Linked DNA regions of Alligator mississippiensis. Each later gene encodes a partner of the first gene's protein in a complex. Links are inferred from orthologs where the notes say so. Each region holds a gene or a part of one and is shown on either strand. Other genes may lie near its edges.

Evidence for each region. Proteins that work in one complex are often made in the same cells at the same time.
Region 2: the proteins of RBSN (region 1) and RAB4A are in contact, whole or in part, in a crystal structure (PDB 1Z0K), measured with the Homo sapiens proteins. The link is inferred for Alligator mississippiensis from reciprocal best matches to the Homo sapiens genes RBSN and RAB4A. Residues at the interface, in NP_001289307.1 of Homo sapiens: Glu441, Gly442, Trp443, Leu444, Pro445, Ser447, Glu454, Pro458, Leu459, Gln461, Gln462, Asn465, Ile466, Phe469, Asp480, Glu481, Thr484, Leu485, Asn488, Leu492, Glu495, Gln499; in NP_004569.2 of Homo sapiens: Tyr10, Leu30, His31, Ile34, Glu35, Ile46, Gly47, Val48, Glu49, Phe50, Gly51, Ser52, Lys53, Lys63, Gln65, Trp67, Arg74, Phe75, Ser77, Val78, Ser81, Tyr82.

Annotation. Positions count from the first base shown.
Region 1 is NC_081835.1:15,632,040-15,640,096, reverse strand, and holds the start of RBSN (rabenosyn-5), read right to left. Parts: upstream 3,235-8,057; 5' UTR 3,132-3,234; intron 2,682-3,131; 5' UTR 2,592-2,681; coding exon 2,429-2,591; intron 1-2,428. UniProt on the Homo sapiens protein: Rab4/Rab5 effector protein acting in early endocytic membrane fusion and membrane trafficking of recycling endosomes. Required for endosome fusion either homotypically or with clathrin coated vesicles.
Region 2 is NC_081824.1:149,267,959-149,275,249, reverse strand, and holds the start of RAB4A (ras-related protein Rab-4A), read left to right. Parts: upstream 1-4,148; 5' UTR 4,149-4,319; coding exon 4,320-4,350; intron 4,351-7,291. UniProt on the Homo sapiens protein: The small GTPases Rab are key regulators of intracellular membrane trafficking, from the formation of transport vesicles to their fusion with membranes.

The DNA of each region.
Region 1 (8,057 bases):
ATCTGTCAGCACCCATAATGTCTCTGTGGAAACCACACCAAGTACTGACAAAGTAAAACAATATTAAGAATATATTCTTCAGCAGTTTATTGTGTAAAAGTAAGTGATATCTCCTTAGCACCAGCCTATTCTCCACAACCAACAGGAAACGTTTCACAGACAACAGGCTTTAAAAATCAGCTTTGCACACTGACAGTATCAGGGAGACCCTTGCCTCCTGGAGGGCAAGGGTCTCCCTGATACTGTCAGTGTGCAAAGTATCAGGAGTTTGCACACAAAAACTCAAGGAGTTTTGTTTTCTGAAGTGTTAACATATACAAGAACCTAGAAATAACAAACATCTGGAGCTTAATGCTGCCAGGTTCCTGGCTACCACAGCTCCTTGAAGCCAATGAAAGTGGAGGGTGCTAGTTTTCTTGCTGGAAGCACTCAGAACCTCACAGAAGCTTGTTTGTTATTATAGGGGAGAGGAAGCAAGGTTGAAAGTTGTCCTTATGTGACACTGACAGACCCATGAGGGATCCCCACACTCCTTACTTGTCACTGTCCCACATTCAAAATTCCCAGCAAGGATATTCCCTCCAATTCAGACAATATCTTAATCATCCGGAAGTTCTCAGAATTGTTAAGTGAACCAGAGAAATAAGGATGTAAATGGCAGCAGGAGCTACGTATTTCCAATATGTTGCTCCTCTCAAGTTTATTTTTGGTTTGTTTGTTTTTTCAGTCTAAAGCCAAGAGAGTCACATGGCATTAACGCGGCTCAGGTAAGAGTCTTCTGTCTTACCAACCTGCAATTAGACACAGTGATGTCAGCAAGAAATTGCTTAAAATACTTCTGACGTGCAACGTGAATGCTACATTTATTATAAAAGCCATCTTGTTGGTTTTTATGCTAGGATGAGTTTTACTGGACGTGGTTTGAATAAGACTGCCAGGAAAGCCAGGAAATAAAAACATCTTTCAAAAATGTAGATTTCAAGCTGCTATTTTTTTTTTAATACAGTTACAGCATGAAATTCTAAATTAAAGGCCGTGGTAGAATCCAACACTGAGGTGTTTGATATCAAAGTGTTGAGGGGGCTCGCAAAATCTAATCATTTTCTCTCTTAAAACAGGGAAAATGATATTGGTTCTTTGGTATGAATATTCGATTGCAGACTCTGCAATTAAGGTATTATAGCGTTGTTTTAGCCCACAAGAAACAGAGAGAAAAACTGACCTGTATGTGTTACTTAATCAAGAAGACAGATCTACTGAAAAAGCTAAGTAGCAGCCAAAAGTGGCGAAAAGTAAATTAGATTTATAAAAATGTAACTGTAATAAGCTTATTAAAAAGCAGAACAAGTGAGGACTTTTTAAAGAGTAAAAAAAATTAAATACATATCAGTGTCAAAGTGCCCTTTTGACAGGTCCTCATAATTATATTAAAAAAGCAGTAAATATTCAAGATCAAGGAAAAACAGCTAAGCCTCTTTCTAGGAAAACGCACAAAACAAAATAACTGTTTCTGCATATTTTATCTAAATTTAACAGCATATATGCAAGGAAGCTATGAACTGAATCTTTTGCCGTCTCCAAATAGAAAACCTTTTACCATCTCCAACTAAAAAAAGTGTTCTAAACTTTGCAGAAGTGTGGTATAAACCCAGACAAATTACGCAGCAACAAAGGGGCTGGTAACTGATCAGTACAAGCTTCCCCACCTTCTAGTCAATTGACAAATTCATAGACTAGTCTTCAATCCACACCCCGGGAATTTACATAGATAACTCCTATTATATACACAGGTAACTCCTATTAGCGCAAACACCAATTCTCTCTTTACTGAGATTAATCACAAAAAACAAAAGGCCAGTATATTTCCATTTTGAAAATATAATACAGTATATTCAAAATGGAAATACTGGCCTTTGTGACTGAAGTCAGTAAAGAGAGAATTGTTCGCACTAATAGGAGTTATCAATGTATATAATAGGAGTTATCTATGCAAATTCCCTGGGTGTCAATTGAAGACTAGCCTATGAATTTGTCAGTTGACTAGAAGGTGGGGAAGCTTGTCCTTGAAGAGAGAATTGGTGTTTGCACTAATGGGAGTTATTTATGTATATAATAGGAGCTACTTATATATGTAGTTCAGTATCTGAGAAGTCTAGTGATTTATTTAGGTGCCTAACTTCAGCCAACATGTTAGTAAACAACAACAAAAAGCTTTTCCTTAAAAATCAGCAACTCTACAGCAATTTTTTGGCCTCCCCACTCACACAAAAAATGAGCTCTCCCTCCCCCTCCTAACTCATTTTAATCAGTATTTTAGCCATTTGAAACTTCAGGCTCTTTTTCAGCGTCTGTAACACAACCGTTTGTCATTGCACGGAGTTTTACCCAAGAGCCGGACGTAGCGAAGCACTCGTCAACCGCCTCTTACTTTTGAGCTGCCCCTTGACGTCCCGGTCTTCACTCGAGTGCTCCTCTTCGTAGTGCGACTGAAGCTGATAGAAGGACTGAAGATCCTTCAGGCACAGTGGGCACAGGAAGCCCTCTCGCACCTCCCCGGGGTCATCGAACGGCGGCGGGTAGCTCGATGCCATGACGGCTCGACGGGTCTCAGCGGCACCCGACCAGGCCCGTGCTCTTCAGCGGCATCGCACCCGGGCGGGGTGCAGCATCGTCCGTGGTGCCTGGGAAGAGACCCGCGGAGCAGTTATTGTGCCCCCCACAAATGGCTGAACCAGTCACCCTCTCCCATCTGAATAGCCCGGCTGCAGCTTACAGCCAGGACCTCCCGGAGACCAGAGGCAGCCCCACAGCCGACGCGGACCTCCCGGACAGCGGCACCTTCTTCGTGCCCCCTCGAAGGTGCCAAACACGTGACTCGTCTCAGGGGGGCCAAACCTTTGCCCCCCGTGCTGGGCCCAGCCTAAACCCCAGGGGGAGGGGTCCTGCATGGGGGAGGGGCAGCGGAGCCGCCCCCACGTGCCCCCGGCCTCGCTTCTCGGCCCAGCCCCACCCCGGGATGAGGCACGGCCTGTCCGGGCCCCGACCAGCACCTCCCCCGCCCGCTGCGGGCGCCTCATGGCGCCGCCTGTGAGGAAACCCTCCCCTCCCCCCGGCCTGCGGGGGCCACTCACCTCCGGGCCCAGCGAGCGCTGCGGGGAGCGGCGCGCCGAGCCAGCGATAGCACAGCCGAGAGGGCGGGGCCGAGCGCAGGGCGCGCCGCCGAGCGCCGAGCGATGGATGGGCGCGCGGGGCATGCTGGGAAAGGGGCGCGAGGCCACGCCCCGGTGCGGGCGGCCCGGCCTGAGAGGCGCCGCCTGGGCCCTTCCCGCCCACGGGGCCCAGCGCCGCAGGGAGATTGGCCACAGAAGCCCACCCCCACCTCAGCCAGCTGGGCCCAGTGTCAGGCCAGGGGGCAGATCCATACGTCTCCAGTGGCTTCTTTCCTCCTCGAGGAACCGCTGCGTTGCGGAGGGCTGGCTCGCTTCACGCCTGGCGTTTGCGCGAGGCGGTTGAGCGCGCCCACCTGCGGCAAAGGTGGACGCGGCGGCACGAGGCGGCCGGTAGATGCAATTGCGTGCCGGGTGCTTCCAGCGAAGAAGACCCGGAGAATTGGGCCTACCACGTGTAGCGGAGTTGGCTTGCCTGCCACCGCCTCGCATATAACATGAGTGTATATGTGCACGTGCTCCTGTGAGACGGATTTCCAGATCGTAGCCTGTTTGGAGTGGGTTTCAAGCCGTGGGACCGTGTGTTTTAGGCCCAACCCTTCCATTGGCTGCCAGCGATAATTCTGCAGTTCGCAGCCACGCACCTGAGCATGCTGGGAACAGACCGGAGGTTTCTAATACGCCCGACAGGTTTCGTTCTCAGAGCCCCCCCACAAAGTTGTATGTTTGGCCCTGCTCTCTCTAGCGTAGATCCCACTTTGTTCCTCAAGGTAGGAGCATCATGTCTCCCTAGTGATACAGTTATTGCTTTATTTCACCTGGAAGAGGCCTGTGTTGTACTACTGCATATTACCTAGACCAGCGGTTCCCAAACTGACAGATTGCATGCGGCCAATTTAAAACGATACAACATGAAGTACCACCAGCAAATTTTTGTCATATAAAGTAATTATAATCAATCTGTTAACGTACCACTGAGAGGTTGTCTGCATACCACTTAGGGTGGCCATCATAGAGGACATTCTGGTTTTCTGCTACTCTGTCCTCTTTGGTACAAAGCCCGACACCTTTATGTTCTCTATTTTTCTTTTCAAGAAAAATAGAAAAATAAAAAAATATTTTTCTCTTCAAGAAAAATAGAGGACATAAAGGCATCGGGTTTCGTCTCAATAGAGGACAGAGGACAACCAGACTGTCCTCTGTGATGACCACCCTAGTACCTCTGATGGTACGTGTACCACAGATTGGGAACCGCTGATCTAGACCAATGATTCCCAGCTTTTTTAGGCTCAAGGCACCCCTCATTAGACTCAAAGCTTCTTTAATTGTTATGAGTTGAGCAGCACCCTATTTCAAAAACTAACTTATTTATTCCTTGCAGAGGAGCTGAGTAGGGACAAAGGAGTGTGGCCAAGCAGGGGTAAGCCTGGGCTTGTGCTTATCTACTAATCTCACACCTCCTACACCCATCAAAGAATTGAAAGAATCTCACCCTGGTTAAGAATAAATGACCTAGACATATGACCCCTTCTTACATTATTAGTACTTAATAAGAAATAGGATGTTTCTGGGCACTGCTATGAACAGTCTTTTTATCTGAGGGTCAGTCATTTAAAACCACTTCAGCTCCCAACAGGAGTTAAGGGTTATTATTTTCCAAGGTACAAAGGGTTAAGTGCCTACCTCCCCTTTGACTTAAAATTCTTCCCAGGTAAGTGGTATTTGGTGGCCTCACGTGAGATTAATTTGATGGGTCTTATTTTCACCTAGCTCACTACCGCAGTTTCCACTAATTAGCAAACTTGGTAAAGGCCAAGAACTGGGTGCTCCGCATGACCTGTAATACTTCTGATATATCAGAGGAATTCTGTATTGTACCAGTCTGCTTATTTTTGTTCTACTTGACCCATGCAGAGCTCAGTGTTCACATCTTACCGTTCCAGCTCTTTCATTTTTTTTAAAGCCAAGAAGAACAATTAGTCCATGTTAGAAACTAACCTGGTATCAAATTTTGGTATCTGTTCTGCAGTCTGATCCAGGTGGGCAACCCACACTACATTATCGTTTTCATCACCTTTTGCATCACACTGAATTTGGCCCATTTTGCTGTTACATAACTGCAATCTTACAGAAGCATAAGGGGGAAATAAAGGCTCAGAACTGACCTGATTTAGTCACAGGAATAATTGAATGTTATAAATAACCAAAGGAGCTGAATTTTTAAATAACCAATTTGAGTTGGATCCATTACTCTCTACTTCTCAAAACAATGCAGTCTTGGTTCAATTACTTGCAGAGAGAACCAGGCAGCTATGAAAAAGAATGTAGAATCCCACTTATAATCACTTCCCTCTTTAACATGGAAAATGCAGGCTCAAGACCAATTTGCTGTTAAAAGCAGAGATGACTTTTATGATGCTGTAAAGGAAAAAATTCCCCTCTTATGATACTGCAGCTCTGATGCTATTAACAAATTGTATTGTATATAATAAACCATTAGTGTATTTAAAAGGTGTATTTGATTTCTTCTTTACATTAACAGAGCATATTGATCAAAAAGTTTTACGAACACGAATAGTGGGGTTTTTTTTAAATAATGCTATTGATTTAATTTCAAAACATAAGAATGTCCTCAGCCCATAAAGACAGAGAAGAAAGAGAATGTTAATTGCTGCACTGTACCAAGGCAGTACAATTGGCTTAAGTATAAGGTAATGCTTATCTATACTGCTGCTGGTATCCATGGTCATCTATATAAGTGCTTTTAGGATATCTTTTCCTGGGGTTTATGTAAGGAAAATGGTGATATGTAAAAGGGATTCAGTCTGAGGAATGTGTTAATAAACTTGTGGCTCACATTATTATTAGATGAGATAACCTGGTTATTTCTTTTTCAGTGTGACAAATGAGTAGATTTTTTTTTGAATGACATGTTGTATAAAGCCATCAAGATGCGCATATGCTTTAGAACCCCAACCCTGGCCACTGATCCTATGCTTGCAGTACCCTGTACCTATGAGTTATCTCACTGAAACCAACTGGGTTCTTCTTGCATAGATTTATGGCTAATATCTGGATGTGAATGAATACACAGCTGACTTTCCCCTTCTTCCATTTCCTGACACTTGTCTGACCTCATTTACTACATCACTTCTCTAGTAAGCACCATTCCCTGTGAATAATTAGGGGTGTGAGTCATGATTGCAGGTTTGGGCTCTCAGGCTTTAGTCCTGTGGTTTGTTCTCTCTGGGAGTGCTCAGCTAGTGTTGAAGTTGCAGGGTAAGGCTTTGTCTCTATAAGGGAAAAGCCTAGAATAACTAATATGGAAGAGTAGCAACATCACATTAGCTCCTTGTGTGAGTGCTCTTATTCTACACTAAGAATACCATGCAAAGAAACTCCAGTTTGGAGGTAACCTGTTTGGAGTAGTTATTACTTGGACACTGCCTTGCTAGTTCTCACTAACTTCTGTGGCATTCCCTGGCTTGACAAGCCCTCATGTTGCAAGTCCTTTAGTGTGGCATCAGGTCTTGTCTCTAATGCATGTGATACAATCTCAAAACAGTGCTGGAAAATGTTCACAGAAGTGGCATGATGGCTGTCCCACAGACAACTGTCAACAAGCCAGTGGGGTTGAGGGTATGCATTTGACTTCACCAGAGACAGATCTGAGAGAGAAATCATAGTTTAATTACTATAAATGGTCTAGCAAGGTAGGGTGGGTTTGATTAACAAGAGAGTAGACTTGATATGCAACATTTATCCTGGATTGTACGACACATTTAAACAGACAGTGTGAGTCCCTGAGCCAGGGAGTAATGTTCTTTGTAAATGCAGATAACAGTTTTCAGGCAAGTACTCTCTGCTACAACTAGAATTGTTTGTTCCCACTGTGATGACTGCATGACATAGACCTCACGTAAAGGGGGATTCTCTGCTTTCCTTAATGGAACTCTCATTAGTCCCTACAGTAAGTACATCAAGTACATCATGTGGAATAGGAACACTCATGCTGCAAAAAGTGTTGTTCTTGCTTCTTGCAACACATCCTGGATTTCCCACACCCAGGTTCTTTGTAAACAGGGACCTCTTTACTGCATGCAAATGTCAAAGGGCTGTGATACAGGGGACTGTGCTCACAGTGAAGCATATGCACATGGGGACAAGCCCTGTGTCCAGCAGGGCTTTCCTGCACAGCCTGGGACTGGCCAGGACCTGTCCCGGTCTGGGGCAGGTCCCAGCCATCTCCGGGCTACATAGAGACTGCTCTGCGCAGCCTGGAGCTGGCTGGGATCTGCCCTTCCTCCGCAGGTGCTTCCCAGCCCTGTGCTTCAATTGGGAGAATAGGGCAGGAGGCTGCTGGTGAAGCAGTGTTAAGCTGCTCCTGTTAAGAGTCCCCCCCCCCACAGCTGTTTCCCAGCTCTGTGCCCAAATCGCTAGAATAGTCTACTGTGCAATAAACATCTTGTGTAGACACACCCACAGAGAAGTAAATAACAGGAAGTCATGGGCCAGACTCTCAGTAGATGTAAATTAGCATGGGTCCAATAGGCTGTACATTGATTTACACTAGCTCCCAATTTAGGCCTCAGTTTCCATTTTAGCTCCTCTCAGACTGTCTGTGTCTGGAATGATGCCCAGGCTGAAGTTTAAAATCATTTTGACAGATACCAGTGGTATCGTCTAGACCTTTCTCTCCTATCCTAGGATGTTTTTTTTTCATACTAAGTATTGAGCTCATTTTATCTTTTGCAGCATCTGAGAAAAGTACCTCTGTAGCAGCTTCTTTGAACATATTTATGTTCAGTTTGTTGTTTTAAAAAAGCTACACAGAATATTCCAGTTTCATTTGTGTGTGCAGCAGTCCTCCTGGATGAGAGCAGAACTTCT
Region 2 (7,291 bases), on another chromosome or scaffold:
GGTATGGGGGTGGGGCCGTTGGGAGCGACGTCATCTCAGGGGGCGGGCTTGCTGGGTGGAGTCCCGCCTGTTCTTCTGTGGCTCCGCCCTTCTTTTCCGGGTCTTCCGGGCAGCTCATATTTTTCTCGGTGCCATTTCTTTGTGGCGACGGAGGGTTTGGGCACGCTGCCATCTCTGCAGCAGCTTTGCTGACTGTAGCTAACTGGGTTTTTAAGTTTGCATTTTCACGCAGTAGGAGTGACACTATGTTAATCATCTTCCCTTTGTCCCACTCGGAGCTTCCCCACTCCTTTCTGACTCCCTCCTCTCCTCTCAGCGAGAAGTAGCCGCTGACGCACCCTGTCTCCGCTCCGCTCACTTGGTGATAAGCGATGTGGGCCCATAATTCATCCGCGTTATCTACGCAGCGCCCCCCACTACACCAGGGGCAGTTCTTAATTAATTCCCACTCCATCACATTTCCCCTTGATCCTGTTCGTGACGCCATGTCGGGACCCAGGGCAGCCGGCCAGCAGCTCTCCCTGACTCCCACCCGGGCAGATAAGGGCCCAGGGCCTTAGAAGGCCGTTAGGTGGGTATTTGTGATGCTTGGAGTGGAATTAATTAGGCGGACCCTTATCTGCCCGGGTGGGAGTCAGGGAGAGCTACTGGCCGGCTGCCCTGGGTCCCGACAATAAACACTTTTTAAAAAATGTTATCACTTAAGAACACAGGCTGGATATCCTGGATAATAGCCCAGGCCCTCTGGCACCCTATTTCTGGCAGGAGGCAGAATCAAGTGTCCCAGAGGAAGGTGTCAGAGTCTCACAGGAGAAACACGTACGAGACAGGAGGCAGGGTAACCTTATAGGTTAACTCAGGGCTGTCCAACTAGCAGCCTGTGAGCCACATGCACCCCCTAAGGGGATAAACAATGACCTCTGGACCCTGGCCTGAGCACTGCTCCCCCCCTTTGTTCTCTTCCTGCTGCTGCCTGAGTCCCCAGGCTCTCCCTCCCTCCTCCAGACTAGTGTTACCGTATGTCCAGGTTTTTCCAGACACGTCCTATTTTTGAGTTCTCCAATCTCTGTCAAGGCAGTTTTTTGAAATCTGAACCAATGCCTGAGATTTTACTTTGCTCCACCAGTGGAAGCAGAGGGAAGGCGACTGGAGGCAAGGGCACCACTCCAATCTGTGTGTGTCTGCATCAGCCTCAGCAGCTGAATGCAGGTAAGTCTTGGGTGGTGGGGTGGGGGAGAGTTGGAGGACTGGAGCAGCGGGTGCGAGGGGAAGTGCCTACCCTTCCAGTGGGGGATAGGGGTGGGGGCTTTGAGGGAAGCGGGGAAGTCTATGGCTGGGCTGGCAGCAGTAGGGCTGGTGCCACTGCTCGAAGGGGGCAGAATGGGCAGGAAATGCTGCCCAGGAGGGAGGGTGAGGTGGGGGGGCATGGCATTGTACCATGCTGGGAGCCCCTGCAGTGCAGTTGGTGGCAGGTGGGCTCTTGCAGCTGGTAGGGTCCCCTGCAGCATGGGTGCAGGGAGAAGGGGTGCTTGCATGACACTGTGGCAGGGGGGAACCTACAGCCTCTAGTCTGTCAGAAATTGGACATCCCTAGACTAACTAAATCAGATAAGCTCCATAGAATCATAAAAAATAAGACTTGTAAGGGACCTAAAAGGTCATCTAGTCCAACCCCATGCTCAGAACAGGACCATCCCCAACCAGATCATCCCAGCCAAAGCTTTGTTCATCCAGGTCTTAAAAACCTCCAAGGATGGAGATTCCACAACCTCTCTGGGTAACCTGTTCCAGAGTTTTACTACCCTCCTAGTGAGAAAATTATTGCTAATATATAACCTAAATTTCCCATGCTGCAACTTGACGCTATTGCTCCTTGTTCTGTCATCTGCCATCACTGAGAACAATCTATCTCCATCCTCTTTCAAACCGCCCTACAGGTAGTTGAAGGCTTCCATTAAATCCCCTCTCAGTCTTCTCTTCTCTAGATTAAATAAGTCCAGTTCCCTCAGCCTGTCCTCATAAGTCATATGTTCCAGCCCCTTGATCATTTTTCCTTGCCCTTCACTGGACTCTCTCCAATTTGTTCACATCCTTTCTGTAGTAGGGGGCCCAAAGCTGACCACAATACTCCAGATGTGGCCTCACCAGTGATGAACAGAGAGAAATAATCATTTCACTTGATCTGCTGGCAACGCTCCTACCGATGCAGCCCAGTATGCCGTTAGCCTTCTTGGCAACAAGGGCAAACTGTTGGTTCATATTCAGCTTATTGTCCACTGTAACTCCCAGGTCCTACTCTGCAGAGCTGCTGTCCAGCAGTCAGCCCCCAGCTTGTATTGGTGCATGGGATTTTTCTGTCCTAAGTGCAGGACTTTGCACTTGTCCTTGTTGAACCTTGTGAGATTTCTTTTGGTCCAATCCTCCAATGTGTCAAGGTCTCTGAATCCTAGCCCTACCCTCCAGCATATCTACTACTCCCTCCAGTTTGGCGTCATCTTCAGATTTGCTGAGGATGCACTCTATGAACAAAATTGGGCCCAGGACAACCCCTGCGGCACTCCACTTGATACCGGCTACCAACTACACATTTAGCCATTGATTACTACCCTCTGAGCCCAATGATCCAGCCAGTTTTCTATCCACCTGATAGTCCATTCATCCAACTCGGACTTCCTTTGCTTGCCTGCAAGAATGCTGTGGGAGACCATATCAAAAGCCTTGCTAAAGTCAAGGTACACCACATCCACTGGTCTCCCCACATCCACAGAGCCAGTCATCTCACCATAGAAGGCAATCAGGCAGGTCAGGCATGATTTGCCCCTGGTGAATCCAAACTGACTTCCTAATCACCTTTTTCTCCTCCAAGTGCTTCCAAATGGATTCCTTGAGGATCTGCTCTATGATCTTTCCAGGGTCTGAGGTGAAGCTGGCTGGTCTGTAGTTTCCTGGACCCTCCTTTTCCCCTTTCTTAAATATGGGCACTATGTTTGCCCTTTTCCAATCATCTGGGACTTCCCCCCCCCCCCCCCCTTCCACCAAGCCCTGCTGGACTGCCGATCATTCAGGGACTGTCTATAACCTCAGTGATCCCTTTGATACCCTAAGTCCCACTACCAGTGCTCTACCTGAGCCTGCTTATTCTGGCCTCCCCAGGGAGGAAGGGAAGCAAACCCCAGTGGCCCTGGGTTGCAGCCCCTCCCTCCATCCAAGGGGCACCCCTTGGATGGAGCCTGGCTAAGGTGGCCATTAGCTCTGACACCCCCTGCTCCCTATTTGTTTCTAAGCGAGGAATGCACTGCAGAAAAAAAAAAAGCCTGTTTTTCTAGTTCATTGGTGGAAACACATGCCAATCACTTATCCTCCCAATTCTATTGGCTGTGCCTAGAGGTAAGGCGGTGCAAAGCCAGGAGCTCAAGGTTCCCACCCAGGGAGGGAAGAGGGGAGGCAGCCAGTTTCTGGTGGCCCCGCCCCTTGCTGCTGATTGGTTAAAGAGGTAGCTACCCCACCTGTCACTTCAGATTGGTGGAAGAAGGTGCCACCCCCACTACTGATTGGTGGAGGGGGGCCACCCTCACTAAGGGCGCACTGCACTTTAGGGTTGGGTCAGTGGCCACATGAAGCCTAGTCCGAACTAGTGCTGGGGCCCTGGCATGGGTTGGCCCTGGGGGTGGGCGCTAGGGCTCTGCACAGCACCAGGGCCCATATTACATCCCCAGGCTAGCAACTAGCCCGCACCAGCCCGCACGGGCCTACCAGCAGCCCTGCATCAGCTGGCTTCCACGGCACTGCTCACGCGCAGCCAGCCACTGAGCCCCGTTCGCCTTCAGACAACTTGAGGCGTGGGTAACGTCAAGCATTGAACCTGAGGGGAGGCGGGGCGTTGCCTCAGCGTCACGCGCTGCCCTCGTGGCCGACGCCGGGGGGCAAGGCGACGGAAGGAGACGCCATTATAGGCTCCAGGAGGCCCCTCCCCGGGCACATCAGAAGCCAACCGCGCGGCGTTGACGTCGCACGCCGTTACATTCCACGGGCGGAACGCGCGCTTGCGCAGACGCTCCCTCCCCCCCCCCAACGGCCCAGTTCGCCAAGCGCCGCACGTGCGCTTTGTTTTGGTGGCGGAGGTGGGGAGGCGGCAACGCGCAGGCGCAGACGCGTAGCCCCGCCCCGAGGGGGGGCGGGAGCGCGCAGGCGCAGACGCGCGACCGTTGCTGCGGCGGTTGGCCCGGCTGAGGCGGTTAGGGGCCGGTGTCCGCTGCTGGGACTCGCCGGCGGGCAGCAGCAGCAGCAGCAGCCCAAGGCGGAGGGGGTCTGGCCCCGCCATGTCGCAGACGGCCATGTCTGAGACTTACGGTAGGAGCGGCCGCGTCTCCCCGAGCGCGTGAGGCGGGGACTGCGGCGCCGGGGCGGCTCGGGGCCGTGCCCTGCTCCCCCTTCGGCCTCGGGCCCGGAGCCGGGCCTACCACCCTGGGGGGTGAGGAGAGTCCCTGTCCTGGCCCTGCTGGCATAGGGGTGGTCCTGCCTCTGGCAGGGTTGGGCTGGAGGTGCTTTCCCGCCCCGCTTCTCTGTGATTCTTCGGCACCTGTCGTCTCGGCTTCCAGGTATCGGCTTCGATACCTGCAGGCTCAGCAGCCCCGGAGCATGGCGCGGGGCTGTACTCGGTGCGGCCAAGGCAGATTTGAGGACTTTGGGAGAGTGTCAGACCCCTGCAGGGGACAGGAAGGGGTGGCCGTGGCTACTAGATGTGCAACTGCTTGTGCAAAGTGAGGATGGCAGGGGCTGGACCCTGCCTTTTTTTTTTTCTTTTCCTTTTTTTTTTTTTGTTGCCTGTCCCTGATCAATACATGAGGGGGTGAGCACAGCACTGGTGCTGTAGCTGCTCCTCTGGGAACTTGAATGCCAGCAACTTGCTCCAGGAGCATGGGAGGAGTGGGGGAATACACCAAACTTAAAAAAAATGGTGCCCACCTGTGGCAGTGGGGGGGGCCACTGGGAATTGTGGTTTTCAGCTCTGCTCCTTCATCTGCTCCTCGCATGCTCACAGAACTGGTAGGAGAGGATGCAGGGATCCGTTTGACCGTGGGACACGGCAGGGCAGGCTCAGGATGCCTGGACTGTGAAGGAGACTGCCTTTGCTGTCCCATGTGGGCCAGGCACTGTGGTACTCCAGTTATGAGTCACGGTTTTAGCAGAACGTGACTATTCATTACTTGCAGTGGAGCTCAGAAATCCCAATTAGGAGCAGAGTCTTGTGGTAGTAGACAGCCTACAGATTTATGGAAAGATGTGATTCTTTTCCCCAACAACATAAAAGAGAAGCTACAAGTAAGTACAGGAAATCATAGGAGGGCTTGAGGAAGGACAATGAGAAGTGATAAAATTGTCTATGTATCCCCATATTAAGTCAAATTAAAATAATCCAGGGCAATATCATATTATAATATGGGCGTGCTGTTCAGTGACTGCTCACTACCTGAAATAGCTTTGGTAATACGGACCTCTGAGGCAGAGTAGTAGTAGCATGGAGACCCTCTACTACCTCCCAGGAGTAATTTCTTCTCCAGAATATTCCTTGTGCATGGGTAAGTAAATGAGCCTATATGCCCTACTGGCTGCTAACCGACGACATGAAAAAAAACCCCAAAAATCCCAGCACTTTACTTTCAGCTTGGCTCATCCTTGCATGAAGCCGAGTGCATGCCCGAAAGAGGCATTGTGTTAGTTTCACCTGGCTTGCCCAGCTCTCTATAGATCAGGAGCTTCAGCAGGGCTTTCTGGCACTTTTTACTTAATAGCTGATTCAATAAAAGGTTTATTCTCCTCAAACATATAATACTTCCACTTTGAGAACAGAACAGCCTTTCTGAGATGATGAATACCTCTCAGTTTTGGGAGGATGTAGTATAAGTTTCATTTAGGAGAAGTTAAACCTTTTTTTTGCACAGATCTGAGAATAACCTTAATATGCCACCTGCCTGACACTCCCAGAATAAACTGAGATGCCTCCATAAGTCTTCAGCTCCCTCTCCACCTGTCATGTTATCTTGGAGCTTAGGCACTATAGGGTCAGAGTGGATTTCACACAGGCTTTATTTTCCAGTCTACATACTGTCTTGCAGATCTTTGAGCCACAGAAGTTAATTGGGGATAAATGATGGGCAGATATAACCTTACATTCCTACAGTTTGGGGATAGCTCCATGGCTGTGAGGCACAGCAGTAGAGGTGACAGCTGTGACTGTCAGCCATTGGGGTGATCTAGCTGGACAGTGATTTAAATTGTCAGCTTGGAGGTGGTGGGGGGAGGGGAGACTGAAGAAAGCAGGAACCAATATATGCCAGGCCAACCAGGGCCAGAATTGTTTCCCAGGCTTATTATCTGATTTGTATGCCATAGTTTGGATAGGGATGATCCTGCCTCATGCAGGGGGTTGGACTAGATGACCTCCAGAGGTTCCTTTGAGCCCTACTTTTCTATGATTAATTGAAAAGTTAGCATCTTTCAATCTTGTATTATTATATTATGATGGTTTCAGGCTCACAAATATTCTTATAGTTTGTATTAAGAGTATAAGAAATGCCATACTAGTCCATAGTAGAGGTCAATCTAGCCAATCCTTCTGGTCAGTTTCCCCCTGGCCTTGGCTAGGATATCTATCTACCTGATGACGAGGAAGGAGGTGTGGCCACAGGAGACCCTGGCAACTACAGAGCTGTCTTCATTTCCCTTATTTGTGCCCATATCCAAGCATTATTTCACTGGGCAGCATCCAGTGGCTCCTAGGATGTCTTTGAAAACCTGTGAGCACTAGCTGTAGTTCTCTGCTCCATGTCTGCCTTTGACACCCTAGTTATTAACATGTAGTCATCATCACTGTCATTCCTGTTTTGTTGTTTGTTGTCTGAAGAAATTGGTTTTTGCATGTTAAGTGGCCTCCTTCTAGCAACTAAAGACAACTTATAGTTTCTGATAGACCTAGGCCCATTATCAAGGCATAACAAATAAGCTGGTCTCTCACAGGCACCTCTACATGTACATTAATGTGTCATAGTTACTGCACATTAAGTTTAGTACCTGTATTAATAGGTACTAACTCAATGCACAGTAACTGGAGCTACCGTGCAGTAGTTTTGGCATATGCCTTTTTAGCGATGCTAATGCACAGTAGGACTGTGTGAAATAGCACGGTGTCGTGTTGACTTCTGTTTTGCTGTTTCAAAGGGACAGTGTTTCGTTTCACTGTTTCGAAGCACTGTTCCATTTTGTTTCCTCAAAACTGTTTTGTCGTTTCACC